Diceros bicornis minor: one gene and its partners. The protein of the gene in region 1 interacts with the protein of each later gene in a pairwise test. Links are inferred from orthologs where the notes say so. Each region holds a gene or a part of one and is shown on either strand. Other genes may lie near its edges.

The links.
Region 2: the proteins of HTT (region 1) and MBD4 interact in binary tests that used the Homo sapiens proteins (3 or more experiments, as listed by UniProt). The link is inferred for Diceros bicornis minor from reciprocal best matches to the Homo sapiens genes HTT and MBD4.
Region 3: the proteins of HTT (region 1) and HAX1 interact in binary tests that used the Homo sapiens proteins (3 or more experiments, as listed by UniProt). The link is inferred for Diceros bicornis minor from reciprocal best matches to the Homo sapiens genes HTT and HAX1.

The regions. Positions count from the first base shown.
Region 1 is NC_080747.1:2,405,458-2,415,854, reverse strand, and holds the start of HTT (huntingtin), read right to left. Parts: upstream 5,038-10,397; 5' UTR 4,914-5,037; coding exon 4,699-4,913; intron 1-4,698.
Region 2 is NC_080741.1:87,872,307-87,882,703, forward strand, and holds the start of MBD4 (methyl-CpG-binding domain protein 4), read left to right. Parts: upstream 1-5,309; 5' UTR 5,310-5,510; coding exon 5,511-5,599; intron 5,600-6,082; exon of another isoform or gene 6,083-6,136; intron 6,137-7,103; coding exon 7,104-7,334; intron 7,335-7,749; coding exon 7,750-8,606; intron 8,607-10,397. Other genes in the region: IFT122 (intraflagellar transport protein 122 homolog), read right to left, coding at 4,980-5,020. UniProt on the Homo sapiens protein: Mismatch-specific DNA N-glycosylase involved in DNA repair. Has thymine glycosylase activity and is specific for G:T mismatches within methylated and unmethylated CpG sites. Can also remove uracil or 5-fluorouracil in G:U mismatches. Has no lyase activity.
Region 3 is NC_080743.1:58,335,476-58,345,872, reverse strand, and holds HAX1 (HCLS1-associated protein X-1), read right to left. Parts: upstream 5,314-10,397; 5' UTR 5,270-5,313; coding exon 5,217-5,269; intron 4,681-5,216; coding exon 4,430-4,680; intron 4,253-4,429; coding exon 4,065-4,252; intron 3,342-4,064; coding exon 3,290-3,341; intron 3,143-3,289; coding exon 3,036-3,142; intron 2,908-3,035; coding exon 2,817-2,907; intron 2,673-2,816; coding exon 2,587-2,672; 3' UTR 2,414-2,586; downstream 1-2,413. Other genes in the region: UBAP2L (ubiquitin-associated protein 2-like), read right to left, coding at 7,198-7,293, 8,113-8,163, 8,575-8,772, 9,728-9,795. UniProt on the Homo sapiens protein: Recruits the Arp2/3 complex to the cell cortex and regulates reorganization of the cortical actin cytoskeleton via its interaction with KCNC3 and the Arp2/3 complex. Slows down the rate of inactivation of KCNC3 channels. Promotes GNA13-mediated cell migration.

The DNA of each region.
Region 1 (10,397 bases):
GTTTTTCATCTTCTGTGCTGTTTGCAGATGTTTTTACAATGTATATGTGTAACTTGTATAATTTTTTAAACTAGTTAATAAAAAGGAACCAAAACACATGCTTCCCAAAAGTGATCCTATCATATTTAATCTACGATTGGGCAAACTACAGCCTGCCTGTATTTGGCCAGCCTGCAAGCGAAAAATGTTTTTACATTTTTAAATGGTTGGCCAAAAAAGAAAATCAAAGAATAATATTTCATGATGTGAAAATTGCATGAAATTCAAATTTCAATGTCATTCATAAAATTTTATTGGAACACAGCCATACTCATTTATCTATATATTGCCTCTGGTTGCTTTTATTCTACAAAGGCAGAGTTGAGTAGTTGTGACAGAGACGTTGTGCCCACAAAACCTGAAATATTTACTATCTAACCATTTACATAAAAAGTTTCCCAATGTTCATGGATTGGAAGACTTAATATTGTTAAGATGCCAATACTCCCGAAATTGATCTACAGATCCAATGCAATCCCCATCAGAATCCCAGCTGGCTTCTTTGTAGAAACTGACAATCTAATCTTACAATTCATATGGAAACAGAAGGGTCCCAGAATAGCCAAAACTATCCTAAAGAAGAATAAAGCTGGAGGACTCACATTTCACGATCTGAAACTGTGATACAAGACTAGAGTAATCAAGACTATCTAGTACTGGTAGAGGATAGACATATAAACCAATGGAAGAGAATTGAGAGTCCAGAAATAAATCCATACATTTATGGGCTATTAATTTTCAACAAGGGTGCCAAGACAATTCAATGGGTGAAGGACAGTCTTTTCAATAAATGATGCTGGGACAGATGGATATCTACATGCAAAAGAATGAAGCTGAACCCTTACCTTACACTATACGTAAAAATTTACTCAAGATGGATCCGACCTAAATGTAAGAGCTAAAACTCTAAAATTCTTAGAAGAAAACATAGGAGTAATAAACCTCTGTGACCTTGAATTAGGTAACATTTTTGTATATATAACACCTAAAGCACAGCAACTAAAGACAAAATAGAAAACTGGACTTCACCAAAATTAAAAACTTGTGCTTCAAAGGGAACTAGCAAGAAAGTGAAGAGAGAAACCACAGAAAGGGAGAATGTTTTTACAAATCATATATCTGATAAGGGTCTAAAATCCAGAATATATAAAGAACTGTTACAATTCAACAACAAAAAGAGAAATAACTCAACTGAAAAATGGGAAAGAATGAGGACAAGGGCTTAAAAGCTAAGTGTAAGAAAGAGGCTGGGTCCCTAATCTTATTGCTGAACTTCCTCAAACAGACTTACTTTTGTCTTATAATAAACTCTTATCTGTTTGAGCGATTGCAGCAGGGTTTTCTGTTATTTGCTGCTGAATACAATCCTAACTGATAACACCAACTATAGCTACACTATGTTATGCTTAGCAGACAGAGATGAACAAGTCCTGTTGGTTCTACCTTCAAAATTCAGTCACTTCTTACCTTGCTATGCCAATATCCAGACAGAATCCACCAACATCTCTCGCTTGTTCACGGCCACAGCTTCCTAACTGGTTTCCTGCTTCTGCCCACGCTCCCCTTCATTCTGTTCTCAGCCAGTGTTCATTTTTAAATGGAACTCGAATCTTGCCACTCCTCTGACCAAACCCTCCAATGACTTCCCCTCACACTTAGAATAAATGCCAATGTCTTTATTCCATCTGCAAAGAAGGGCCTATTAATCTGGGTGGTACTTCCTCTCCATCTCTGACCTCACCTCCTACAAAGAGTGTCCCTCTCCCTAATTCAACCAGCCAAACTGACCTCCTTGTGATTCCTCAAACAGGGGCGCCTCAGACCTGTTCCCCTTGCCTGGAATGCCCCTCCTCTATACACCCTCATGGCTGTAACCTTGACTCTCTTCAGGTATTTACTCCAAAGCCACCATCTCCGTGGATCTTCCCTGGACACCTTATCTAAAACGTCAACACCTTATCAACTCTGACATTGCCTGGTCCCCATTCCCTGCTTTGCTGTTCCTCCTTCATTTACCACCATCTAACATACTGGTATCTATCTTGTTTGTTGTCTATGTCCCTCACTAAAATGAAAGCTTCACGAGGGCAGAGCCTGCACATATTAGATGTTCAACAAATATTTACTGACGAGTGAATAACTAAAGTCAGGGGAAAACTAGGTCGGAATCTGAAGGAGAATGAGAAAGTGCCAAAGACAAATGTCAACTGACTCATAATCACAGTTAGGACCCTCCCAAGCTCTGGCACTCCCCTGCATGCCAGTCCCACCAGAAGCCCTGCACTCTATATGCTGAGCCGAGAGCAGGCACTCAGATACTTCAGCTGAAGCCCACACATGGCTATAACACTACACTTTCACACAACAGAGAGCAAGAGCCATAAAAATAGAACAGATACTATCTAAATTGCTTTTGGCCAATCTTACTTTGGGGAACGGATTTTTCAGCTGAAGCATCTGAACAGAAATGCCAAGATCCAAACATGTAAGCAGTGAGTTTGTTACTCAAAATTAATGAATATCTATTTTCTCAACAGCAAAGTACATAAAAATATATTTGTGTATTTTATTTAAAGTCACTATAATTAAGCCTAATGCAGTTTATTTCAGAGCATGCTAAGAACTTTTAAAAGTTACTATTCTGAAATACTTTTGTTTTTAAATAATTTAAAATCTATCTTCACTTATGCACAGATTATATCCAGAAGGAGACAAAAGGGGGAAGTATAACAGTGCTTGCCTCTGGGAACAGAGTTAGGTACTCAGGAGAAAGGAGTGGGGGAGAGAGATTTTAATTATTACCTTTTTGTAATTTTGGAATTTGTATCATGTTAATGTATTACTTATGCAAAAATAATAGATTAAATTTTTAAAATAAGTCCATCATACATTACCATAAACTAAAGTAAAGAAACAAAATCAATCTACTTTGTCAAGCTGGCTTTAGAAAGAAACTTCTTTATACCCATATTTTGAAGATGAGCAAATTCAGGTTCTCTCAAATCAGCATAAGAAACAGAAGGCATATTTTTAGATTGACCAAGTGTTTGAACAAGCCACCAGTGACAACAGTTAGCTCTTCCTTCCCACAGAGCCCTGCTTAGTGCTTCCCCGTGTAATCTACACAAAATCCATGCAATGTGTGAACTTCCATGACATCCACCTCCTGCAGACGCAGTACAATAAAAGTCTGGAATGGGTTATGATTATAAATTACCTGCTGTAAAGATAAGTCCAATTCCTAAAAAAAAAAAAACCTCTACGTATCCAAACAGGTTTTTCCTCTTACAAGAAAAATTAATTTATTTCTGAATTTTACTCCAACAGATAAGCCAACATTACTCCTCAAATTCTCATTTTTTAATTAAACTCTCAGGACACAGCAAAGATCGTATCAGAAACACAAAGAACAAGAAAACATTACTAAAAATGAATCAGTTTTAATAGAGTGAGTTTCTTAAAGGGGTTGCTTCTTGAAAACTATCCTCATTAAATGCCATCTTGTACATCCCCAGATCAGAAATAAAATGCCCTGAGATGAGAGAAAGGCCTAATCTCTGCTGAACACTCAGCACACCAAGACTTCAGGGAAAAGTACTTGGGTCCTGTTAGAAGGTGCTATTCATGGTTTCTTCTGTTTCAAAAATTCTCCCAGGCACAAGCCACAGAGACCCCTAGCTTCCAAACAATGCCAGAATGTCAGCAACGAAGGAAACAGACGTCCCCGGGGTCTGCAGACACCCACGTTCCAGCAAGCTGGACTACAGTACTGCACTGGTGAAATGCACATCCTTCACCCTCCAGCAATTAACCTCCCCCTCAGCCATGGGTCGTTTTTATTTCCAACTGAAAATAGGCAAAAAACTTCAGTCAACTCTTCCTAATATCTAAGTCAATTTTATTATTTCTCACTTGTTAATAATAACCGTCTAAGTAGCTCACCACTTATGCACTTGGCAACCACAACTCATTCAAGTGCTCGCATACCAGCTTGAGCTTAGACAAGCGGGTCTCTTCCCGATGCTTAAAATCCTGTTGCTACCACTGGCATTCCCGAACTAAATGAAATGTCTTGCGAATGTCACAGGCTGTTTAAAGGGCCCCTGGAAAAAGAATCTCCATTGGGCCGCGTCCGCACGCCCCCGCCCTCCCAGCCCCACGTCCTAAAGCCATGATGTCATGCACTATCCCCACATCACTCCAGCTCCAATTCCTGGCTCCTCGCGAAGCGTCCTGCGCCCCCAGCCCTCCTCCCTCTCAACTAAGAGAGGGAAAGGAAGAGGCCCAGAGGAAGCCAAACGAGACGCGCTCTCGGCTCTTCCAACTTCTGCTCACAACACAGCCCCAGTTTCTTGCAAACATAAAGCAGCATGTTCCTTCCCCAACTTCGCCTGCCGGGGAAGGCAGAGGACAGGGGCCGAGACCGCCTCGGTGGCGTCAGGAGGGCCAGCGAGGCAGTGCCTGCCCGAGAAGGAACGAGACCCGCGAGGCGCCGGGGAGGGACACGGGACCGGCTCTCGCAGCGGGAGGGGCGTGCCCAGCGTGTGCCCTCCCTGCGCTCGGGGCCGCGGGGTGGCCGTGTCGCCGCGGGGCCGGGTCTGCAGGGCCGCCGCTGTCCCCGGCGGTCGCCGGGTGGGGAGTGCAGGGGCCCGCACTCACGGTCGGTGCAGCGGCTCCTCGGCCGCGGCTGGGACGGGCGGCGGCAGCGGCGGCGGCTGCGGCTGAGGCGGCGGCGGCTGAGGCGGCGGCGGCTGCGCCTGCGGCGGCGGCTGAGGGGGCTGAGGCGGCGGGGTATGCTGCTGCTGCTGCTGCTGCTGCTGCTGGAAGGACTTGAGGGACTCGAAGGCCTTCATCAACTTCTCCAGGGTTGCCATGGCGGCCTCCCGCCCCACGGGGACAGCCTCCGGAGCCCACGGGCCCGCTGACGGCGCCGCTCAGCAGCGCGGCAATGAATGAGACCCAGGGCCGCAAGCAGGGGAGGAACCCAAGCGCTCGGCCATCTTGGACCCGTCCCGGCAGCACCCGCTGTCGTGCGTCCCGCGACGACTCGCCGGCGGGGCGGGGCCAGGCCGGACCGGCGGGATTGACAGCCAGAGGCGGCAGCCTCCACCAATGGCCGGACGCGGCGCCGGCCCGCCTCCCGAAGCCGCCGCGGACGCTGAAATCACAGCGTTCCTCCCTGGCGAGAGCACGGCGCGCGGCGGGGCCCGGCGGCGGGGGCGGGGCCCTGCTGTGAGGGGCGGGGCGGGGCGGAGCCCGGCGGTGGGGGCGGGGCGGAGCCCGGTGGTGGGGGAGGGGCCCGGCGGTGAGGGGCGGCGCCCTGCTGTGAGGGGCGGGGCACGGCGGTGGGGGCGGGGCACGGCGGTAAGGGGAGGGGCGGAGCCCGGCGGTGGGGGCGGGGCGCGGCGGTAAGGGGCGGGGCGGGGGGGGGCCCTGTGAGGGGCGGGGCCCGGCGGTGGGGGCGGGGCCCGGCGGTGAGCGGCTGGGAAGCAGACGCTGCTGGGAGGTGGGGGGCCAGGCGGCTTGAGAATGAAGAGGGAGGGAAGCTACAGGCAACAGGCGCGACGCTGAGGGGGTGAGGGTCGAGGCGCGGTGGGGAAGGTGCCCCCTCCTCGGGAAGGAGCACCCCTCGAAAGAAGCGCCCCCCTCGGCAGGAGCCCCGGCCGACGCCCGGGGTCGCAGGGAGGGCCGGCCGTGGGCCTGGAGCCTGGAGACCCCCGCGGGGGGCGCCTGCCCACCCAGTGGCCGGGCCGAGAGAGGGCCTCACCGGGACAGCCCTGCGGGGAGCGGGTCGGGCTCCCCTTGCGAGGAGGAAGGGGGAAGCGAGTGCGCCCTGCACAGAACCAGAGGACCCTACGGTTGGCGGAGACCTGCGGGATTGGTCCTTCGGGGCGGGAGCCCACGTGTAGCCCCCAGAGAGGAGGGGCCGTGGAGGCCGGGGGCCAGCACCTCCCGCAGTCTGCAGCCCGAGGGGGAGGGGAGGAGAGGGGCGGGCGCCGTGCCCGGAGAGGCTGTGGCTGTGCAGTGAGAAGCGGCTTTGACCCCAGAGACGTCCCCCACCAGAATGACTCCCCGACCAAGAGTCTCCCCTGCAAGGGAGAGGACCCCTGATCCACAAAGTTCTGTGGGCATCTCCTGCCTCGGGGGATGGGAGGGCAGGCCGGTAGTGAGAGGGTCCAGTCTCCAGAGCCTCACCACCTGGGGGGAAGTAAGTGAGCAAGCAGAGGGGCACAGAGGATGGTGGGGGCCTCCGGGGCAGCTGTCCCACTTGCAGGGCAGAGAGTGCGTTGGCTTCGGAGAGAGCCGCCTTGGGGAGAGGTGATGCGGGTAGTGATGGACCCTCCAGAGCCTGCTCAGGGCTGCACCCTGTCCTATGCCAGAAGCCACATCTCTGCCTTCTCTCAGAGCCTGTCGGTTGTCCCAAAGCGGTCAGGTAAACGGAAACCCAGCATCCCCACAAGAAGCGTTGTCCCCAGGAGGATGGCAACAGCCCCACTTCAGGGGAAGGACTGCAGAGAAACTTGCCTTCAGCCTTGAGGTCCCAGTGCCCTGTCGTTAATAAAGGCCCTTCTGCCTGGGGCCAGGCCGTGTGCCAGCCCTCGTGCAGGGCAGGCCGCAATGGTGATGGCCAGGCTCCAGGCTGTCGGGTGCTGGGGTCCACAGACTGCTAAGACTGCCCCTCCCGGTTCTCACACCTTGTGTAGTCCCCTCCCCCTGACTGTGGGCTGTCCCTGGTGGCCTGCTTCTAAGTTCTTGCTGATGAGAGGTAAGCAGAAATGATGTGTGTTAGTTCTAAAAGTCTCCTTATAACGGAAGAGAGACACTGTCTTCTTCCTGCTGCCTGGAATGGGGATGTAGAGGTTGGCACTCGAGCAGTCATTTTGGGTCATGAGGATGTAAGCCACATCCTAGGATAATGGAGCTGGAAGGAGCCAGGGCCCAGATGACTGGGGGGAGATGCCATTCCAGCCTGGCCTGTCTGCCTCTGAACTTCTCACAGATGAAAATCTGTGAGAGAGAAATATAATTCTATGTTGTTTAAGCCACTGTTACTTTGGATTATTCTGTTTGTATGCTCCTAAATCAAGTTCTGACCAGTCCAAAGAGGTTATGAATCCTTGAGAATTTATATGACCACAATAGGTCATGGCTGCTTCAGCCATGGCAGGAAGAAAGTCATGGGCCTGGAATAATCCTGATGAGAAGTCTTATAAGAAAGCCTTATAGAAAAGGGACTGTCAAGAAGGCAGATTTTTAAATTCAGAGAAAAGCTTAGCATAATCCAAAACAGAGTAAAGATTTACACAGCTGGGTGGGCAGTTTGGCCTGGTTTCTCCAAAGCCGTAGAAATGGGCACAGTCCCTGAACAGCAAAGACACTTCCAGTAACTTACCCTAGGAAGACAATCATGTGTGTGTGAGGGTGGTCATTCATCACAGCAACATGTAGGACAAAAAATGGGAACAACATAAATGCTGGACGGAAGGAAAGAGATGGCTAAATGAATAATGACATATCCACATGACAGAAAACTGTGCAGTCATTAAAATCCTATTTTGAAGAGCAGTCACGACACGGGAACGGTGGGCAGTGCATTAGAGATGACACTGTGTATACCATGATCCCCCTCTTTTATTTTAAAGAAAGAAAACCACACATATACATAGAAAAGAGACCTGTCACCAGGTCTATAACAGGGACTGTCTCTGGGCAGGGCAATTACAGGGAATTTATATCTTAATCTGTGTGCTTATCTGTCATTTTCAAGTCTTCAGCAATGAACATGTACTATTCAGGGGGAAAAATATTGTAGAAAAGGTTTGGGTGGGGAGCTAAAAATGAAGGCCTAGCAATAGACTTGTGAGTGGTCCTGCTCAGGACGAGAGGGAGATATTTAAAGCAGCCTGATGCCCCCCCACAAACGGGGTACACTCCAGCTAGGGGGCTGGCACTGCCCTGAATCCAAAACCAGGTGGGAGTCCACAGCAGGTGAGGCCCGGGCAGGGGAAAGAAGGGAACGTGAAGCAGAGCCAGGGAACAAGATGAGTGGACAGGCAGCTCCTGAGGGGGATTTGGTGGTCCCCTGCCGGTCATCCCTGAGGGTTCCTCCCAATTTAGAGGGTATTATTGCCACGTATTGTAGTTCTACATAAATACACATATTGCAAAAGATAGTAATTGTTGTTTTGAACAAAGTTTAAATTGACTCCCATATTTACCATTTTTATTACTCTTCATTCTTTCCTACATCTCTGATTTTCCACCTAGGATCATTTTCTTCTGCCTGGAAAACACCCTTTAGAATTTCTTTTTATTGGATCTTCTGTTGCTGAAATCTCTCAGTTTCAGTTTATCTAAAAATGTCTTGGGTGGCACAAGCGGCTAAGTGCGCGCGCTCCACTGCAGCGGCCCAGGGTTCGCCAGTTTGGATCCTGGGCACGCACCGACGCACTGCTTGTCAAGCTGTGCTGTGGCAGTGTCCCATATAAAGTAGAGGAAGATGGGCACGGATGTTAGCCCAGGGCCGGTCTTCTTCAGCAAAACAAGGAGGATTGGCAGGTGTTAGCTCAGGGCCAATCTTCCTTACAAAATAAAATAAAAATGTCTTTATTTTGCCTTCATTCTTACTGGATTTTCAGTTGGGTGTAGAATTCTAGGTTGGCAGATGCTTGCTGTCAGCAGAGTAAAGATCTGGACATCACTGTCCTCCGCTTTTCATTCCTGCGGTTGAGAAGTCACTTGTTGATTTAATGGTTGCTCCTTTGTTTGAAGGCAATGTGTCTTTTTTTTCCTCTGGCTGCTTTTAAGATTTTCCCTTTGTCTTTGGCTGACTGGAGTTCCACTGTGCCATGTCTGGGTGTGTAGAGAGAGACCAATCAGCTTTTCAGAGGATGACCTTGGGGATCCTGTTCAGTGATCTAGCAGCAGGCTGCCCAGCAGGAAGGGCTCAAAGGGCTGGCAGACAGCAGTCCTGGAAGTTCTGGACCACGTTTCCCTGGTGACAGACGTCTGCCATCAGGATGTTCTTTTCACAAGCAGAGCCATTCCACACAGCCTCAAATCTACCATTGCTGCACATTGGCCAGGTGCTACCTGTCCCCTTCCAGTCCCGCTGTAAATGCACAGAGTGACAGGGAGCAAGGTCCCTCTCCTGGGTACTGCCTGTGGTGTGACCAGCTGGGCCTGGAGCTAACACAACTCTCCATGGGGTGATGGGAGCTTGGGAGACAAGTGCTGCTTCTGATGACCCTCTGCCTCTAAGCTTCTCGTTAACTCCAGTTCATGCCTGTACCGTGAGTGGTTCAGGGTTTCCTGGCTTGGTTTAACAGTAGGATTTCTTTTCATTTAATCTGCTTGGAATTAATTGGGTTTTGAATTTGTGGATTGATGGCTTTCATGTTTTGGAAACCTCTCAGTCATTATCTCACAACAGTGCTGCTGTCCCACTCACCCTCTCTCTTCCTAGTGTTCCAGATAAACCTAGATTAGATATTCTCACCATATCCTATCTTCTATTTTCCTTTTTTTTTGCCTCTCAGTGCTTTATTCTGGATTGTTTCATCTGACTTATTTTACTAGTTCTCTTTTTGGCTGATTCAACTGTTGTTAAACTCTTGTTTAACCATTAAGCCCTGAAATTTTGTAGTTTTCACTACAAGAATTTATACTTAACTCTTTCTAAAGTATGCTGTGTCATTTTTTATATTTTGTAGTTCCCTGCCAAAATTATCAGGCTTTACAAGTTTTCTCCCTGAACATAATAAACATAGTTGTTTAAGAGTCCGTTTTTCATATATTTCCATTATCTAGAGTCTCTGAGGATATGTTTCTCATGTCTGAAGTTTCTGCCAATTCTCATTCATATTGCCTCATCTCATGTGCCTGGTTATCTTCAACTGTATACTGGACATTGTATTTGAAAATTATTATAGAAGTAATTTGAAGCTTAAGGTATTATCTTCCTCCAGGGGAGACGTTTGTTTGCAATGCTAGGCTCCTTGGGACACTAAAAGTCCTAGGTCATCTTAATCCAAGTTCCAGTTTTGGAGTGTTCTGGGCCACCCACAAGAGCTGATTTACTTCCAGGTCACCTTTATTCTTGGGTGGGCTGGACCCCAAAGTGGAGAGGAAAGTGCCTTGGACCCCAATCTTGGTTGGCATGCCCTGGATTTGATTTTTGTTCCTCTAGCCTCAAGAGGTGTAGCTCAGCCTCTCAAGTGTCTTAGGACCCCCAAAGCTCCCCTAAAGCAGGAGCAGCCCTAGAGTTTGGCTCATCTCTCTGAGTTCCCACCCTCTCCTGGCTTTCAGCCCTGAAAGTTGCTTCTTCTCTTGATATTTATATTTGTCTAGCTTTATTA
Region 2 (10,397 bases), on another chromosome or scaffold:
TCACCTTTTATTATCATTAAAGGTATTATCAAAGCATTACATGTAGAATTCAGAAAGTTTTTTATATAGACTCTGTTGACCTCAGAAGCTTACTTTAATAAAAATGATTCTTCACATATATTCAACAGTTAAGAGTTGCTATAGAGTGTAAATTTACATTATCTTATTTGATCCTATGATAACATAACACAGTAAACAGGCCAGATACTATTGGCCCATTTTTATTGATGAGGAAACTAAAGTACAGAGGCAAGTCATTTGTCTGCTGTCACACAGCAGCTGATGGAGAAGCTGGAACGAAGGTGATTGTTACAGCCTTTCCAGTTGGGCATCCCTCTTGAAAGAAGCAAACACAGACTCTGAGTTCTTCAGCATCCTCACCGTTAAGGAGCAACAGACCTGGGCCTTCCTGTTTCTCAGGCTTACTTTCTCTGAGCCTGGGGGGAAATGTACGTGGCACGTGTCACATTCTGAGGAGAAGCAGGGCAGCAGAGTGGAGAGCAGAGGGGAGCTGGGCCTAGGGGAGCTGGCCTCCTGTCTGAGCTTGCATCCTCACCTACCAAACAAGGAGAGAGAGCTGCCCTCCCCCCTCCCAGGGTGCTACAAGCCGGCCTTGGACAAAGCTCCTGACACCTGTGGGTTGCTACGATGAGGTACTAGATTCTGGAGGAGGTCCGCCCCTCTCTTTTATAGTCATCCTTGGTTACGTGGCTTCCTTTCAGACTTGTACATATCTGAGTGCATCAAAATGGTTCCTGTGTGGCCTCTTCTGCATATGGATCATTTTGGGTTGAATTATCAGAAAATAATTTCTGAGTGTCTCATTTGGTCTAAGGCTTAAACCATCTTCCTCTCAGATGTGAAAATTCATTTTCTCTGAATCTCTTGAAATTTGCCTTCCTAAAGTATAACACACAGGTCTTATTTGCCCTAATCTAAACTCTTACGAGCCAACCCCGGTGGTCTAGTGGTTAAGATTCGGCACTCTTACCACTGAGGCCCAGGTTCACTTCCCAGTCAGGGAACCACACCACCCATCTGTTGGTCATCATACTGTGGTGGCTGCGGGTTGCTGAAAGCTATGCCACAGGTTATTTCAAATGCCAGCAGGGTCACCCACGGTGGACAGGTTTCAGCAGAGCTTCCAGACTAAGACAGACTAGGAAGAAGGACTTGGCCACCAACTTTTGAAAAAACTGGTCATGAAAACCTTTTGAATAGCAGCAGGTGATTGTCTGATATAGCGCCAGAAGGTGAGATGGCGCAAAAAGCTTGGGCAGGGTTCTGCTCTACTGTACACAGGGTCGCTAGGGGTCAGAATCGACTTGATGGCACTAACAGCAACAAAAACTCTTACCGTACTTTGAATCTGTACAATTCAATTTAGCTCTGAATTATATAATCTTCTGTTTTACACTGTTTCAGATACCATCTTGTGCCCTTAATTATAGTCATATGCAATTTGAGGGTAATGACCCCATTTTAGAGATTTGTGGGCCCATGGTGCATACCATTTGTCCTAGACATAGCGAATATAATCGACAAACTGACAAGGTTTTATCTTGAACTCCTCGGACTTTCATTATCTCATAAGATCACAGAAACTCAGAATTGGAAAAGACCCCAGACCTTGTCATGTAGTCCAACTCCCCCGCCAGGGCAGGAATTCCCTATAGATGGCTATCCAGCCTCTGCTTGAACACTTCCAGGGCTGGGGAGCTCACCCATCTGCAGGCAGTCTATTGTACTGGAGGACAGCTCTCTCTCCTCACCTGCTCCCTTTTACGAAAAAGATACATCCTCAGATTCCATTGCAGAGAGACAGAGGGCGAGTTCTGCAAATTGTCCTCTGCCAATCCTGTGCCCATACCACCGTAAACTGAAGTCTCAATATGCCTCTTTAAATCCTGCACAATCTGACCCAGGCCCTACCTACTTGCTTTGGAATCTTAGGCAAATTATGTCACCTCATTAAGTCTCAGTTTCTTCATCTGTAAATGGGGCAACAATTCCAACCTCACAGGTTGTTGCGGAGATTAAATAAGATAATGCATGTAAACATTGTCTGGCCTACAGCAAGTACTCGGTAAATACTAGCTGGTGTGAATGGAGGGTTATAGCAGATGCTGGCATGATTGGAATAAGGCAGGCTAGCCAAATAAGGCATCATGCCTGAGATGAACCTGAAGTAGTGCTTTTCAGAGAGAAAATGAGGGAGCTCAGAGAACAATAAGAGAGCATTTGGGAATGGCCTTTGGATAAGAAAATGGAGTTTCTAGCTGAACTGAAAAGCATATATTTAAACATTAGCAAGGGTCGGGGTTGCGGGGGAGCCACCTAGTTAAGTACACAATTTGACATTGAAGTTAATTGGGAGTCACTCCAGGTTTACGAGAAGTAGAGTAATGGATCACAGCAGCCGGACTCAAGAAAGAGAATTCCTGCTGCTGTGAGGTTAGACTGGAAGGAAAAGAGCAGACAGGAGACAGGTGCTGGTTCAGTTATGGAGGACTGATCTTTGACATCTGGGATTTTTGAGTTCTGTCTATTTCTTATACTTTTTTTTTTTTTAAAGATTTTATTTATTTATTTTTTTCCCCCCAAAGCCCCAGTAGATAGTTGTATGTCATAGCTGCACATCCTTCTAGTTGCTGTATGTGGGACGCGGCCTCAGCATGGCAGGAGAAGCGGTGCGTCGGTGCGCGCCTGGGATCCGAACCCGGGCCGCCAGCAGTGGAACGCGCGCACTTAACCGCCAAGCCACGGGGCTGGCCCTCTTATACTTTTTTGTTTTGTTTTGTCCCATTCTGAGCATATGTAACTGCCATTAGGAGCTGGTCTATAGAACCTCTATTGCCCCTAATCTAACAAGTTGTTTCAACCTGTAATGGGCCAAAAACCAAATAATCAATCTTCATTCACCATTCATTCGCTCACTTATTCACTCATTCGTGAATACATCTATCCACCAAACAGTCACAACAACCACTGATTTGACTAGGCTCTGGAATAACGTGGAAATGAATAAGACATAGCCATGGTTTTTAAGGGGTTTACAGACTTCTGGGATAAACAGATTCACAAATAACTCTTACACTAGACAGATTCTAAGTACCACAAAGAGGAATGAACAAAATTCTATGCTGGGGGTTGAAACAGGGGAGCAAATCAGGCTGTATTTGGCCAGCAAATGTTTTGTTTGGCCCACATGGTGTTTTACTTTGTTTTTTAAGATTAGGTGCCAACATTTAAAAATTAGGACACTTCACATAAAAACCCAGATTTCTAGCCTGTGATGAAAATAGGAAGATTTGAGTACACTAGGCCAAATCCTGCAGGGTGGTAATTGGCAGGAGCTGAGTGGCAGCTGCCCCGTTTAGGCCGAGCACGAGCTCTCCAGTGTGCCACACTCCTTGCCATTTCCTATTACTGTCTGACATCGAAGCCAAACGTTCAGTTGCTAGTTATCAGCAGCTTGTGCTGTGGGTACTTTTACAACAGAGTTAAGAGAAAAGTAAAGAGAAATTTTTCTTTTACTCAAATCTCTGTTAAAAGTAGAAGTGAAAGATATACTGGTAGGGCTATGTGTTTCAAGAAAAGTGGGGTGTAGAATAGAAAAACACTCCTAGGGAAACCAGACAATTCCTCGTGTTTAGGATGCAAATAAACATCTCCCATTTATGTTGCCTGCCTGACTCCTGCAGGCGTTTGAGTTTGCAGCCTCTGTAACACAGGGAAAAAGTCATGTAGTGGCTAAGAGCATTGTCTTTGTAGTGAGGAAGCAAGCTGGCTCCACCCCTTACTCACTATGTGACCCTGACAAATTATTTACCCTCTCTGTGCTTCATGTTCCTCATATGTAAAATAGAGGTAATTACAGTACCTACCTCAGAGGGCTGTTGTGAGGTGACAGTGAGATAAAAGACATGAAGTTCTCAGCCAGTGCCTTGCACATGGTACGCGTTAGCTATTACCAGTGCAGTTCAAAAGAGAGAGCGACCATCTCCAAAGGGAGCCTTAAAGGCTGTTTAGGATTTCATTGTGAGGAGACGAGGAAAGAAGGCATGCTTTCTTCACACAGAAAGGCCTAAGAAAAGATGGAGAGGGAATGGCAAGTGTCCTGTTCCAGTGGCCAAAACAGAGGCTTCACAGTGAAGCTGACAAGATCATCCAGGACAATTTTGAAAGTCAGGCAGAGGAGAACTATCCAATAAGTCAGTATTTCCCAAAATGCATCATTGTGTGATAGGTTTAGGTGATAAAAATGGACATTAAGTAACACTGAGTCATAAAGTGAGAGGTCATTCTCCTTGGATTCTCTGTCACGCCTTCTAATCAAGCGTAGTTCTTGGTTTGCTGCTATTCATCCCACGCACCTCTCTGACCACACTTGCTAAACCCCCGGTTCTAGAGAAGGTAGACCTCAGGCTTAAAGGCTCCCTAGCAACAGTATCTAGCTACAACTTATTAACACTGTCTTGTTTCTCCTGGTTTTAAGTGTTACAGTCACCTTATTATAGTGATATTGATTTTCAAATATGGAGCAATAAAATTTTCTTGTAAAATCATATTTAAGCGAAAATAAGTGAGAATTTAGAGAAAAACGTGAAGTAAACAAGAGTATGGGAAACACGTATGTGGATGTGACAAAACTGTGCAGTCTGAGAAACACTGTCATGGGTGTAAAATGAGCCCAGGACGGATTTTAAGTAAGGGAGCGACAAGACCAGATTGTGAATACGTGTAAAACCCCCCCGCCAGCCCACTACCTCACGTGTGGCATATCCCTTTGCTCCCTCTCCAGACCTCAGTTTCTCCAACCGCAAAGGGACCTCGCAGTCGCCCAGACCCGGGGTTCAGTGCCCTCAGCCCAGGCCGCGGGCCCGTTGCCCCTTGCAACCACAGGGGTTCACGCAATGGCTCCCGCCATCCCCGGGGGAGATGGCCTCCCGCTCCTCCCGGATTGCCCCGCTCCTCACCACTGCTCTGCTTTATCTCTCCACGTCAACACGGCCCGCATCGCGGCTTCCCTCAGGCCTCGGACCCCTCCTAACCGCCTCAACAGCAGTCCCCGCTCCCCGAGCCACTTTGGCTACCTGCGCTACCCCTGGCAACGCACATGCGCAGTGAGCTAGGCGCCCGGCCGAGAGTTCCGAGTGCGCATGTCTAAAAGGAAGGGCTAAGAAAGGAGCAAAAGGAAAGAGGGAACGGGAGCCTCGAAGGCGTCTGCGCAACTACGGCGCGCGCGACTGGTCGGAATGGGCGGGGGGCGGTGCGTCTTCCTCGACAAAGGATTTGATTGGCGGAGCTGCGGAAATGGCGGCTGTGGCCAACTGGGTGGCGGAAAAGCCGCTAAGGAGGATGACAGACTTTCACTGCCTTCAGCTTGTGGTTTCACCTAGCGCTCTGAGCTGAAGAAGTTTTCACATCTTACTCTGCTCCACACCCAGGGCGTTGCACCCTCTCGGTCGGTTGCTGAGGCTGGAGCCCGCTTGAGGGGCACAGCGGGGATGGAGAGTCCGAGTCTGGGGGACTGCGGAGCTGCCCCCTTGGGCAGCTCCAGTGAGCGCCTTGTCCCAGACCGGCCTTGTGACCTCCGGTAAGCTGTTGCCCCCTTTCGAGCCTCGGTTTCATCAGCTGTAAAATGGGAGCGGGGGAGGAGAACGTGGGTGGGCCTTTGTAAAGTAGGGTCGACAGAGCCGTCGAGGCCCCCCGGGTGAGATACTCGGAGGTGAGGCTGGAGCTCAGGTTCTCCTGGGGTGGGGTCAGCCCTGGGGTGCTCCCGACTTCGTTAGCCAAAATGACGAGGGAGCCGGGAGTAGTAGGGAGGTTTTGCGGTGCAAGAAGCCGTCTGCGTGGGTTAGAGGATCCTGGGAAGACCTTGGAGGAGATGTCATGTTAAGCAGCCAGGGGCGCCCCAGAAATGGGTTCTGTGAGAAGTTAACAGAGGAAGCACTAGTCGTTTATTGAGTACTTGTGTATGTGCGATATGGGGCTAAGATGATTTACCTACTTTTCTTTTTCCCCCCAAATTTAATCCTTAGAAAACTATCTTAAAAGAGGTATTACCTGCTTTTTACAGATGGAGAAAGGAGACTTTGAGAGATTAAGTAACTTGCTCTTGGACACATAGCTAGTAAGTGGCAGAGCTGGATTTGAGCCCAGGCGGTTGACCTTAAAGTTTGTGCTGTTTTCACCAGGTTTCAGTTTCCTTATCTCTAAAATTGTGACCTATATAATTTCTTAAGATCCACCCAGCTCCCCAAAATTATTTAACTCCAAGTTACATCAGAAGACCTTGATTCTAATTCTAGTTAGTCACTAGGTTTTGCTTAGTTTTCCTATTTGTAGGAAAAAAGTTGGGTTAGACATCTCTATAGACCCATTCAACTTTTAAAATGTGTGATTTAGTGATTAGGATACACTCTACTGAAGTTTTTCAATAATAGTATAAGGAGAGAAGTATTAGATCAATATTTAGTAGACCTGAGTTCTGGTATCAGTTCTGCAGTTAACTTAATCTTCCTGTCACAATTTTATCAATAAAATGAGTGATCCTTATCCTACCTACCTCATAAGATTACCATGAGGATCAAGAATGAAAGAGATGTGAAAATTCTGTATCAGAAATTATTACATTTTAGAGGGTTACAGCATCTGATGAAAATGATAGACACTCTCCCCCCAGAAAAATGCACATATACATAAAATTTTTACCTCACTTATTTGGAGAGGAGGAAGGTGTCTCATTGACTCCTTTAAGCAGTGCTGTTGATCCCAGGCTAAGAGCGCTGCTATTGGTTTATATTTTTAAACTTGTGCCAAATGTCACCAGAAATCTTTATAATAGCTTTATTCAATGATTAACAAAAAAATCTTATACCAAATAGCTTGAGCTTTTCATTGTGCAGAGATGCCCAACCCTTTTTAACCCACGTTGGAAGACAAAAAGATACTCCCATAGCAAGACTGGTCTATACTGATTCTGATCTCTCCCGTAGTCCATATAGTCCATGTGGTTCCTGCTCTACATGGATTGAAATTGAATAAGCAGAGGAAAATAAATTTTAAATGAGCTAATCACTTGTACTTTGTTTTTTCAGCAAGGAAGATGTTGTTCTGGGATCAGAAACCGTGGGCCAAGATGAGAAACAAATGGTGATAAAAAGCAGCAGTGAGCGTAATCCCCTGCTGCAAGAACCCATTGCTTCTGCTCAGTTCGGTGGTACTCCAGTGCCAGAATGCCATAAGTCTGTCCCATGCGGATGGGAAAGAGTTGTGAAGCAAAGGTTATCTGGGAAAACAGCAGGAAGATATGATGTATATTTTATCAGGTGAGCGTGCAAGATAGTAAAGATAGTACAGCCAAATAATTTTGTCTAGACAGTTAGTGGGAAAGCATAGTGGGAATCTTGGCTTTTTTCTGTTTTTACCATAAAACCATTATGGATTCCATTCCTTCAGTGTCACTGGTTAATTATATCAAGTGATTTGGGGACAAGTACATACATTTTCTCCTACTCTGAATGGTTAACGGTAAAGTTGTACTTAAGTTATATTTGTAAAATTATTTTATACTGTCATACAGGAACCTATTTAAAAGTACCATTTTATCACTGTTTTTTATTTTAATGACAGATGCCCATGGCAACATTTGGAAATTATTAATAAAAAATCTGAAATGTCCAATTCTTTTTAAAAGTCACTTTTATTTACTAGTAATAAGTTTCCTTTAATATCATTTTCTAGCCCACAAGGACTGAAGTTCAGATCCAAAAGTTCACTTGCTAATTATCTTCACAAAAATGGAGAGACTTCTCTTAAGCCAGAAGATTTTGATTTTACTGTACTTTCTAAACGGGGCATCAAGTCAAGATATAAAGACTGCGGGATGGCAGTTCTGACATCTGGACCACAAAATGAAAGTAACAGTTCAAACTGGAATCTCAGGACACGAAGCAGGTGGAAAAAAGATGTGTTTCCTCTGCCAAGTGGTAGTTTGAAATTACAAGATAGCAGAGGACTATCTAACTTTACTTCCATTCATTTGCCTTTGAAAGAAGATGAGGGTGTTAATGATGCTGGCTCTGGGAAGGTTAGAAAGTCCAAAGGAAAGGTGACTATTTTGAAAGGAAGTCAAACTAAGAAGACTAAAACAGGGTGTCAGAAGAGTCTTTCAGCTTCTATTCAAAGTAATAGAAAAAGAGAATCTGTGTGTAATAAGGCAGATGCTGAAAGTGAACCTGTTGCACAAGAAAGTCAGCTTGATAGAACTTTCTGCATTTCTGATACCAGAGCAAATAACAAGACCCACAGTGTGACCAATGAAGAAAAAAGACACGTAAAAGAAAAATCATTGAGTTCAGGATCAAATTTTCGTTTTGATCAAATAACTTCTGGCATCATAAACAAATTATGTTCAGCCAAAGAAGCAGAACCCAACAGGAAGCGTGAGGATAACTTTTTAGAGTCTGAGGAAATAAGAACAAAAGTAGAAGCTGGGGAAAGGGAGCAACATTTGCATACTGACATTTTAAAATGTGGCTCTGAAACAAACAACTGCTTACAAACCAAGAAAGACTCTACTTCTCTGAAAACATTTCAAGGTATTCAGTGCACTAAAGTGCTATAAAACATGTGATGAGTTTATACTCCCGGATGTTGTATTTCATGCCTGTACCCGGTTAGGATGTGGGCATAGAATGAAGAAATAGGGCCAAACATCAGATACCTTCTACCAATTGATCTTAGTACCTTGTCTAACCGATCTTCAAGCCGTTTCCTATGGCAGAGAAGGAATCCGCTGCCTACTGCCTTGATACCTAGCAAAGGAGAATTGTGCCATTAACAGCTGCTACCGTCTCTCCCTGGTGTAATAGCTGGGACGCTGCTCGACAGTGCTTTCCCTTCTTCCCATCTTCTTTCCAGCCAGTAATCTTACAACTTTAGGGAAAATGAAAAGGCTTCACTTGTGAAAAGGTTTGAGGAAGACTCCTTTTATACATAAACTGGTTGAGAATAGTCGGTTTCTTCTCTTTGCACCCCTCTTGTTACTTATTACTGATAGGTGACTTCCAATTTAACTTTGTATATATCATAGTCATTTTTATCTTTTATTATAATGTCATGTGTCTCTAAAATGCTTTAGAGCTCTGAATAATTCAAACCTGTAATCACATAGTTCATCTGTTATTTATAATATACTCTTAATACAGAGTTCAGAGCTTAGCATTTTGCCTTTGTAGTACCTCAGTGAATAAGAGATAAAAAGGAGAACTTTTGAGCAGCCCTGTATTAGTTATTCATTATGCCCTTATGGTATAATGAATAACTCCTTTAAAGAAGAATAGAATACTCCTTTAAGAATAATTTTACTTCAAGTCCTGTGGGGAGATGGCCTGGAGAAATTGGTGGAGCAGGGGGTAGACTTGATTCCTGCTGTCAGTCCCATTCAGGATTTTATGTCTTTGCTGTACCTGGGATTTCTCTACCTTTTTTTTTTTTTTTTTTCTTTTTTTCTTTGTGAGGAGATCAGCCCTGTGCTAACATCCGCCAATCCTCCTCTTTTTTTTGCTGAGGAAGACGGCCCTGGGCTAACATCTGTGCCCATCTTCCTCCACTTTATATGGGACGCCGCCACAGCATGGCTTGCCAAGCAGTGCGTCGGTGCGCGCCCGGGATCCGAACCAGCGAACCCCGGGCCGCCGCAGCGGAGCGCGCGCACTTAACCGCTTGCGCCACCGGGCCGGCCCCGGGATTTCTCTACCTTTAACAGAAGATGACCCTATATACCTAGGAACTGCATAAAAATTCTTCAAGTCTGTCCTTTAAAGACTTTGAGCTTCTTAAAGACTTGAGGTTTATGTAGATTCATTGCTAGTATAATGGACAAATAAAATATTAAAAACATCCTTTTGCTAATAAAATGGAAGTATCCTTTTCATTCTATATATAAAGAAGTCTAGTTCTCAACATAAGATGAAGTACCCTTAGGCTAATAGATGTCCAGTGCGATAGTAAAGACTTTCCCATTGGCTTAGTTAGAAATTGCCCCCAAGTAAACTGAGCTTCAGTCTCTTAGTAGTAAAGGAGGCCAGCTAGTAATGATTTATAGGAACCCACGGAAGAAATTATCAAGTAGCTAGTAAGAGCAGTTTCCTTTGTTCTCTTTTTTACTTTCTATTAGGCTTTGCCTGTTTAAACTAAAATAGCAAAAAACACTAGGCTAATTATCTGGAGGCCTGGATATTTGTCCCAATCTATAATCAATCCCACTATTGTTTTGAGATGGTTGCTTAATTTCTAAGCCTTAGTGTCTTCATCTGTAAAATGGAGGTAATAACCCTCTCCAGCCCTGTTTTTCACATCAAGAATATTGTCAAATGAGAAGTGAAAAC
Region 3 (10,397 bases), on another chromosome or scaffold:
GGCCTTATTGCACTATCTAGAACCTCCAATACAACGTAGGATAAGAGCAGATATCCTGGCTTTGTTCCTAATCTTAGTGGGAAAGCATCAGTCTTTCAGCATTAAATATGATGTTTGGTATAGGTTTTTATAGAAACCCCTTTTATAGATACCCCATTTCATGTCTAAAAATGTCTATTATACTCCTACATTTAATTCATAGTTTAATTGGGCATACAATTCTAGACTGGAAATAATTTTCCTTCAGTATTTTAAAAATAATTCTCCATTGTCTTTTAATTCCAGTGTTGCTGTTTAAGTTTGAGAACATTCTGATTCCTGATCCTCTGTATGTGATTTCTCTCTCTCGAATCACTTAGATTCTCTTTTGTCTCTAGTGTTCTGAAATTTTGTATGATGTGCCTTGGAGTGGATTTATTTTCATCCTTGATATCAAGCATGTAGTGAGTCCTTTCAGGTTACAAAGTAATATCCTTCACTTCTGGGCTATTTTCTTTACTTATTTCTTTGATAATTTATACTACCCTAATTTTCTTATCTTTTTTCCTTCTATTTTCTGTCTCTGTTATTTGGTCTACTGTTTTGGAGATTTCCTCAACTTTGGCATGCAGACCTTTTTATAGTTTTTCATTTCTGCCATCATATTTTTTTTAACTCCCCAAAGTTCATTCTTATTTTGTTAATTCCTCTTTTGTAGCATCCTGTTTTGGTTTTATGGGTATATCATCTCATATTTCTAAGGATATTAAAGATTTGTGTTCTTGCTAAATTTTCATCTTTCTGCATAGTCTCTGTTTCTTCCAAGTTGCTTCTTTTGTTTGTATGAGTCTCCATCCTTCATGTTGGATGCTGTCCACAGATGTCTGGTAATCTCTGGCTCCATTTGTGTTTATGATGGTACTCTAAAAAGCTGATTTTGTTGTTAGTACCACCAAGTCGATTCCAACTCCTAGTGACACTGCAGAGCGGAACCCTGCCTGGTCTTTTTGCACCAAGCTCTAACCTTCTGGCATTATATCAGACAATGCTTTGCTGCTATTCACAGGGTTTTTATGGCAAATTTTTTCATAAGTGGGTGGCCCGTTCCTTCTTCCTAGTCTGTCTTAGTCTGGAAGCTCCGCGGAAACCTGTCCACCATGGGTGACTCCACTGGTATTTGAAATACCTGTGGCATAGCTGTCAGCATCACACCACCACACAGTGGCCATAGTATGACAACTGACAGATGGGTGATGTAGTTCCCTGACCAGGAAACACTTGAGCCATGGTGGTGAGAGTGCTGAATCTTAACCACTAGACCCCCAGCACTGACTGTAAAAAGCTGACTAGAAATCTCAATTGTATTCTTATATACTATAGAAGTTAGTGGGGAAAAAAAAAAAAAAAGGTGGGAGGATTTGTTCTACTAAATACAACTATAGTATTTAAAAGTGTAATATGGGTTCAAAGATAGATAAATAGATTAACAGAAAAGAGTAGAAAGACCCAGCACAGGGACATACATGTATTTATATATATGTATGTGTGCACATATGTTAATATGTGTGTATATATGTGCATATGTGTATATATTTTTTCCCAAATGAAAAAAATGAAACTGGTCCCCTGATTCATACCATATAGGAAGATAAATTCCAGGTGGATTAAGAAAACTAAATGTAAAAGGCAAAACTGAAAAACTCATAGAGGGTAATAAAGGACAGCATCCTTTTAACCTTGGGTTTGGGGAGATTTCTAAAAGATATAAAGAGCACTAACCATAAAGGAAAAGATAAATTTGGCTACAATGAATCATCTTCTGTTCACCAAAAGATATAAAAAAGAGAATAAAAAGACAAAAGTTCATTACTATATCTCCTCTCCTTTGTTCTTGTGATATGCCTCTTTAGAAAAATCCCTTTATTGTTATTTTCGTGAGGTTTCCAGAGGAAACAGAGGTAAATAAATTTGTAAGACCTGCCGCTCTAAACCAGTGCTAAAAACTTTTTTAATGAGAAAAAGATCCAGTAATGTTTTTGCTAGTTATACTTTTTCTTACATAAAAAAATAAAAACATAGCCAATAAAGGAAGAAATATTTGCCCATATACTTCCTCAAATGATCTCATGAAGTATCCAATCATAGTGATCCCACATCTAGGGAAGCAGTTATCTCCCACACTTTCACACACTTCCTTTTTTTGTAATCTGATGCATCCCTGTCTATAAATTTTCCTGGAATTATCTCTAGTCATCTTATCTCCTCTGTAAAGAAAATCATTTTCTACTGGTACCTGACCCTTACTTATCAAACCAGGTTTTGAAAGTGGAAAGAAAAATTAAGACATAAGGAGAAAACTGTGGGCAGGATAATTTTGGAAGCCCTGGATGGTGCTAGAAAGTGGAACAGCCTTAACAAAACCAAGACTAAAGAATTAGCATAAATAAACGTTTTATTAGTCAGTTTGGGCAAGTGACATACTGACATACCCCCAATTCACTGTTCGACACACCCAAGCCCGGAGGTGGCAGAAGAGGCTAAGCCCATTGATGGTGAGCAAAGGGTGGAAGGTGGAAAGAACCTGAAGGTCTCTGAGGGTTAACAAGGCTACCGGGACCGGAACCAACGTCCTAGGAATAAATCCAGGATGGAAAAGGTATCATCCAGGGCTGGAGGTGTTGGTGCTTCTGGATCTAAGGAAGAAAGTGATACACTTTCTTGAAATGAAAAAGATTGGGCAGACGCAAAGGAGAAAAATAATATTAAAGAGTAGAAGAGGGTTTCTCTTCCCCAAGGAATTAAAAGATGGACCCCTTTCATTCACACTCTTCACTTACCATCTCTAGGACTGCCACCTGCTTCTTGACGAGTTACTGTGGTCTCTGTCCGACCTTCACTGTCCACCACAGTCCGGCGCTCCTCTACTGTCTACAAGGAGAAGCCCCCACCATATCCCTAACATCACTAAAGGTGAGTTCACTGGTTTCTTTACATAGATCCCTTTTTCCAGAGCATCCTCTGGCCACAGTTCCCTTTACTCCTCTCTCCCAACTCACCCCATCTGGCTTAGTGATCTTGGTCACAGAGACGCTCTTGAAATAGGATTTGGGCTGGGGCTGCAGAACTGGGCCAAGGCCCTCCTGGGAAACCTGGGAATCAAGATCTAGAAGGGCAGAGAGATGAAACAGGAAAGAAAGAGTCCAAAGGAAAGAAGGGGACAAGTGTGGCAGGAAGAAACCTCAGGGAGGAAAAATAGAGGGAACTTTGGGAGAACAGAGGTCTGGTGAACGTCCTCTCCCTCCAGACTCACCATTGTCCTCCCTGGCTCTAGAGTGGGGGGTCACGGGCCACATATCATCAAACTGCAGAAGAAGCCAAAGTAGATAAAATGACACTTTTCAATCTGAATCTTGAGGGATCAAAGTACCCAAATTATTCCCAAGTTCCAAAACTACCTTTTTTCAGGAGAGAGAATCCCATTCAGGATAGCTTTATTTACTCACCCCGCCTTCCTGCCTAGCTGCTTTATGTATTCTTCTACCAAAAAGACTTCCTGAACTGATACTTTTCTGTCCTCCCCCAACAATCCTGCCTTGTCACAGAACCATATAGACCAGGGTTTTGTTTTGTTTTTTTTAAGAAAAAACAGAACTCCCAGAGCCAGCCCGGTGGTGTAGTGGTTGAGTTCACGTGCTCCACTTCTGGCAGCCCAGGGTTTGCAGGCTCGGATTCCGGGTGTGGACCTACACATCGTTCATCAAGCCACACTGTGGCAGGTGTCCCACATAAAGTAGAGGAAGATGGGCACGGATGTTAGCCCCAGGCCAATCTTCCTCAGCAAAAAAGAGGAGGATTGGCAACCGGTGTTAGCTCAGGGCTAATCTTCCTCACACACACACACACAAAAACAGAACCCCCATTTTCCCCCAAAGAAAACCCTAAAAGAAGCTTAATATAGAAAATATACACTAAGTGGAGGGCCTAAGTTTCCAACTCAAGTCCATTCGATTCCAACAAGAATGCCAGTCTTTGCACTCCATTAGTTGTCTCCCACAGGCTCTCGCTTCAGACCCAGATGTACTCACCCTATGGAGAGGTCTCTGGGAGCCCCAGTCTGGTGCTGGTTTTGGGGATTCAGTTCTTATGTCACTCTCCAAGACCCCCCCAAAGATCCTGGGCTGGTGGCTATCTGGATACTTAAGCATTGAGTCTCGAAGCGTCTGTCCCTCCTGCTGTCTCTCACCAGGTGTCTCTGCTTCAGGACCTGGAAGTTCTGAAGAAAGGTGGCAGGTGGATGCTGGGGGTGGGAAAGGACTTGGGCTCTTTTAAACCTCCTTGAAATCATCAGTCTTCTCACACTTCCCATCCCCCAACTACTCTCTGCAGGCTCCTTATTTCAACCACCAACCCAGCAGAAACCAAAGGCTCTCCCTCAGGGGCAGCCACACACCAGGAGGGCGGGAAGGCAAGGTCCAGGCCCCCATCTCGCTGAAGATGTTATTGAAATCCCGTACTAGGTCATCAAAGCCGAAGTTATCATGGAACTGCATCCCTCCTCCTGGGCTGAAGCTGAAGCCGAAGCCAAATTCCTCCGGGGGCTGGGGACCCTCAAACCTCGAGCTTCCATGGCCCCACGTGGCTCCTTCTTCTTCCTCTTCCTCATCATCTTCATCTCGAGTCATCCCTCCAAAAAAGGGATCTCTGTAGTTGGGGTAGAGGCAGATTGGCCACCAAGATTTCAGAACTACTTAAACCATAAAATCAACTCACGGGTGGCAAAGTGGGATAAGAGTAGGGTTCTGGGGAGCTGAGGTGAGGTTTAGAGGACTGGCCATTGGGTATTGTTTTGTTTTGTCTTAGTTTTTATCAGTCAGTCCTCACCTCGCAGCTCCCCTAAACACCTCCCCTCGGCTTTTCTTCAGTGTCCCCCAGCCCCTCCCCTCTTTCCCAAGCTCCTGCTCACTTGCTCATTGTCGTCTTCCCCAGAGCCCCACTGTCTTCCCCGCCCGGGCCCTGCTGCATCACCCCAGATTGGAGAAAGGCTTAAGGTGCTGTTTCTCCTCCTCTTAACGACGCCTTGGCTACTGCTGCGGGGTGAGTGCTCAATGTTGTGACTTCCGTCCTCTCCGCAGGAGTTGAAGGAGTAGGGAAGAGGATGTTTTTCCAAAAATTGGGTGTTAGGGGTCAAGCTCCCCTCAGAAGACCACCCCCCTTGTCCGACCCGGACCCACTCTCACCTCCGAGGTCCCGAAAAGCCGAAAAACCCCCGAAAAATGTCAAAGAGGCTCATTCCCGTATTGGGACTCGAACCTTCGAACCGTACCAGAGGCCCATTCACACCTGGGGGCAGCCTACGCTTCGCTGTCGGAAACTGAGCGAAACGTCAGACCACGCTGCCGGAAAGCAAGCCTGCGAGCAGGACACTGTCGTAAAACGACCGTACGCTAGACGCCGGTAGGGGGCAGGCCGGACAGTCCTCTCAAATTCGAAAGGCTTTCCTTACCCCTGTTTACCTGTTTCCTGTGAGGGTAGTGGGCGGGGCAAATTTCTATTTCCCAGTGATCACCTGCCTCCTAAGCCGATTCTCCTGATTGGACCAACCCAGTCCAATAGTGTTTGGAGGGTTTGACGCTGGATGGTACCAGATAAAGGCACCAGGTGGCAGTCCATCCCCACAAATGAAGCGGTCCGAGACCTTCCCTCACCGCCGGCTCATCCACGGACTACCGGTCCTTCCGTCTGAAAGCCACCTCGCCCCTTTCCTCGGTCCTGCTGGTTTGACTGACCTAAGTATAACATTAGAGGGTTGGACAGCTGTTTTATCAAGCTCCTTCTAGTACTGCATTCCCCAGAATTGTGCAGAGATAAAGACACGGGGATGCAAGGACTTAACTTCCTCTCCAGCTACTAAGGAGTTTGTCCTAATTATGAAGGATTCTTTTGATTCTAGGCATGCTCTGCAACCAGCAGGATAACAGCTTTCTAAGAGAGCAAGGGAAATCTAGGGAAGGGTCTTGAAAGGGAAGAATTTGGGGCTATAATTATCCCCCTTTTCCCATCATTGATTTTCAAACCCTCCCCCCCTTGTACCCGCCACCCCCATCCCAACCCTGGCCTTGCTCTAGACTCTTCCTTTTTAAGGAGTTGGGTATAGCCATGTGAAATGAAAGCACTCAACAAGCAGGAACTGCTGTAGTCTACTAGGAGAAATGAGCCCCAAGCGTCAGTTTTGCCATCCAACAGTGTATGTTGCCTCCCATTCTTTCCAGTTCATTTGCCTGGACCCATCTAAATTATACTTGGACTACAAAGCCATTTCTTTCCGCTCCTTCTTAATCCTCTTGCTTTCCATCCAATATCCACTATCCCACTCCCTTCACTGCCTAAAATCTGCTGTAGATGTCGATTTCTGGAGGAAATGAAGATTTGTGGTGGTTCTTTCCAGGCACCAGGCTGTGCAAGTCTTAGGGGAGAACGGAAGGGAATCCCCTCAAGGGCAAGACAGTAGCACATTAGGGTCAGAGGAGTTCTTAAAGGGTGAAGATTTCATTTTATTCCACTGCCTTCGGGGCCTAGAGGCCCAGTTGGTACAGTAATACTTATTCACCAAGCTGGTCATCGACGAGACTGAGGATATCCTAGACAGAGTAAGAATGGGCAGAGGCTGAAGGTAAAGGTTTTTTTTTTATATATACAAGACACATTAATCCATTAAATTTGAGGACACAGTACAAAAAAAAAAAACACTTCAACTAATTCATCTGACAACGCTTTTCATATTCATGACGCCATTTTTTGTTGTTGTTGTTTTGTTTCCTAATAATAAAGGAGGAGACTTAGGGCTGTTGGGCTGATATATATTTGGGGGGGCCCCCTCCCCACCTCACCCATACACCACCAGGGTGAACAGGAGGAGAAGGAAGGGCAAGGCCCACAGCAAAGTTTCATAATCTTGAATGCAAGGGGGGAGGAGGAGAGGAAAGGACCAAAAAAAAAAAAAAAAAAAAAAGGAGAAAATACAAATCCTATAATACATACAACAGAGTGGGGATGGGATGGGAATGGGACAGACATGAAGCTGAGGCATGGGGTGGGCCGCTGGGGGTGGGGGGCAGCGGAACCCCCCCCACATTCCTTTCTCTCTTTGATGCTGTTTCCATAGTTGCCAGGCTGAGAAGCCCTCTCAGAAGATGGGACCGGGAGAAGAGGGTCAGGGCCTCAGTTGGCCCCCCAGCTGTAGCTGTTGTAGGCAGACTTGTTGGTCTGGGGCTTCTGCGGGATGGAGCTGGTCTGGCTACGTTGCCCGCTGCCCGTCTGCAGGGGAATGGGGAGGATGATGGGGAGGAAAAAGGTGTGTAGTTAGGACAAACTGTTATATCTTCAGGTGGAGATTTGGAAATTGCTCTCCCATCCCCCTTGCTTAGAAACGGCTCTGAAGCTTCTCAACAATAGAAAATTCGGTTTATATGGCTGCTAGAGCACCACTGATAAGAAAGCACTTTCTTTAGATAGGGGAAAGATGAAAAGAGGGCAAGATACCTTTAGAGACAAGACAGTGAATCAGTTCTATGCATTTTCAAATCCCCCTCACCCACCCCCACCTCCATCCTCCCCTGGTCTGAGAAAAGGCTACTCTCTACAGAGAATTATGGCCTCTTGGAGATGAGTGATCACAAGGTGATTTCATTTTCATTGATCCCCATGAATGTCTCAATTTGGAAAGCTGTCTTGGAGAGCAAGGAAGCTCTTATTCCAGCTCCCCAGCCACCTATGATGGAGCAGAGGTCGCTCACACCACCCCGTGGCTCCCCACCCCTATCACACATCACATCTGTGAGCCCATTTCAGGAGAGAGAGTCTGAGGCCCCAGGCTCCAGATGCTGCCCAAAGAATCCTTTCCATTCCGGTAACCAAGTGTTTCCAGAGTTAGGGAAGGGTAGAAAGAAAAAGAGGGCATTGAGGAGGGGAGGACAAGAGAGGAATGGGAGGCCAGAGAGCTCAGCAAGGTGTTGTGTTTGTGTATCCCGATTTGTGACCGTGCAGTCTTTTCTCTTCAAAGTCCCTAAGGCTGTGGAGGTGAAATGGGGACTGAAAAGGAGTGGGTTCAAGCATATCATCATTGAGTTTCATTACCTGCTCCTCCTGCTGGCGCTGGCAACAGAGAATCATCTGCAAATATGGTAGCTGAGGCAGAACCAGGATATATGGAAAATAAAGGGACAAACTTTGACAATAGAACTCCACCATTAGAAGGGAAAGCTATAATGTCAGGGAAGGGGGAAGGCTGGGAGAGGTAAGAGGGGAGGTGTGACCAAGGTCTAATGGGATGAGGACAACTGTGCTACGGGAGGTGGAGGAGAAAGGCAACAAAGGAATGGGGCAAAAAAAGGTTTCAATGGCCCCTCCTCTGACATCTCCTTTGCCGGCCACTTGTGTTATGTGCGCTTGTGTCTGTATGTGCTGTGTGCCCATGACTGGCGCTGGGGAGGACTGGGTGAAGGTGGTGGTGAGGAAGGGTAAGAAAAGGAGAGGGGAGGCAGTTTTAAGGGACAGGAAGGAAGAGGAAGGGAAAGGAGAGAGGGAAAGGGCTATTACCTGGCCATCCTGCTGCAGGTGATGGTGAAGGATCTGGGAGTGCGGCTGCTGATGGGGGGTCAGAATGTGCATAAAGGGGGCAGGTGGATAGGCAGCAGCTGTGGCCGGATTGATGGGCCCCCCACTTCCTAGGGCTGAAGGCAAGTTGAAGGAGGCAGCAGGAGTACCGGAATGAAAACCTTGTTTCTCAAAGGACTGCTATCCAGGAGGATGCGAGGAGAGAGAGTAAAAGGGATCAGCAAACTAATGCCTGGAATTTCGGAGCCCAAGCTCCCCCACCCTCAGGAAGCAGCACAGTGTCATGGAAACACTGCACCTGAAGTCAGATATTCCAGTCTCGGTCTCAGCTCTGCCCTTTAATAGCTGTGTGATCCTGAAAAAATTACTATCTCTCAGCCTCAGTTTTCTCATACATGAAAACAGGGATGCTACTGACCTCTCAGTTGTAAGGACCAAACGAGAAAATGGATGTGAAAGCACTTGGTAAAATCTAACGTCATATACGAACACAGTGAAATCTGCTGGCTACTCTTAGCACCCTTCCCCTAGAGCTGGGTAGAAATTAGAACTGCTTGGATATTTCAAAAGAAATGAATACACACTGAGGTATCTTGAGTATTAAAAGTCTTAGCCCTGAAGCACTCAACCGTAACTCCTAATACTTTATCAAAATTTTAATTATTTATGGTGGCAGGTGAAAAACAGCACAATACACATCTGTGGATAACTGAAATGCATCACTTTAGCTACTGGGTTGTCTCCTTTCCCACTCTTTGTTATCCCTTAGATACTTACAAAGAATGGAATAAACTAGTTTCCCTTCATTCGACACTCATTCTCTTGGAAAGTGATGAAAAAGTTGGGAGTGGGTAAGTAAAGGGCCCAGACAGCTGCACAGTAATTCACACAACATATTACAACAATTTGCCACATCTCACCTTCCTGTAACACTTCTCTTTTTGTCTTTTTCTAGAGAACTAAATTTAAACTTCTTCAAGAAACTGAAGTCTGAGACCATTCATTTTCTAGAAGGATGGGTTTCCTGACACCTCTCTTAGGCTTGGTTCTTGTTCACCGTACTTCTATTATTACAACTCTACCTCCTCTGTGTCCATCTGTCTTTTCCCACTTCTATCCAGAGCCAGGCACCTACCTGGGTTTTGGAGTACACAGAACCCGAGATATCTGGCACGCCCGTGTTACTGGAGGTGACTGATACACCTGGGGGAGGAGGAAACAGATAGGAGGATTAGCTCAGCTAGCTGCCTGGCCCCTATCCCTGGGAGGAGGTGATGTGTGCAGCCTTTCTAGCTATAGCACTGCAAGGGAATTTTGGTCTGTTTTCCCAGCTTCAGGTCAGTCCTGAGGGATAAGAGCTCATGAAACAAAGGCTACCTAAAGGTTCTCTTGCCGGGGGCCGGCCCAGTAGCATAGTGGTTAACTTTGCACACTCTACTTCAGTGGCCTAGGGTTCACAGTTCAGCTCCCAGGTGCGGACCTACGCACTGCTCATCAGGCCAGACTGTGGCAGCGTCCCACGTACAAATTAGAGGAAGATGGGCACAGATGTTAGCTCAGGGCCAATCTTCCTCACCACACACACACAAAAAAAACCCCAAAGGTTCTCTTGCTCTTTCCAGATGTGTACTGAGTATATGTGTGAGAGAGTGAGGTGAGTTTGTTCTTTTTTTTTTTGCCGGGGTGGGGGTGGGGGGGTGGGGCGGATTTAGCCAAACCTCACAAGCATACAGTTTTCAAAATACTTCTGTGCTAAAGCCCAACAGAATGTATTAAACTTTTAATGTCCATTTCAAATCAATCTG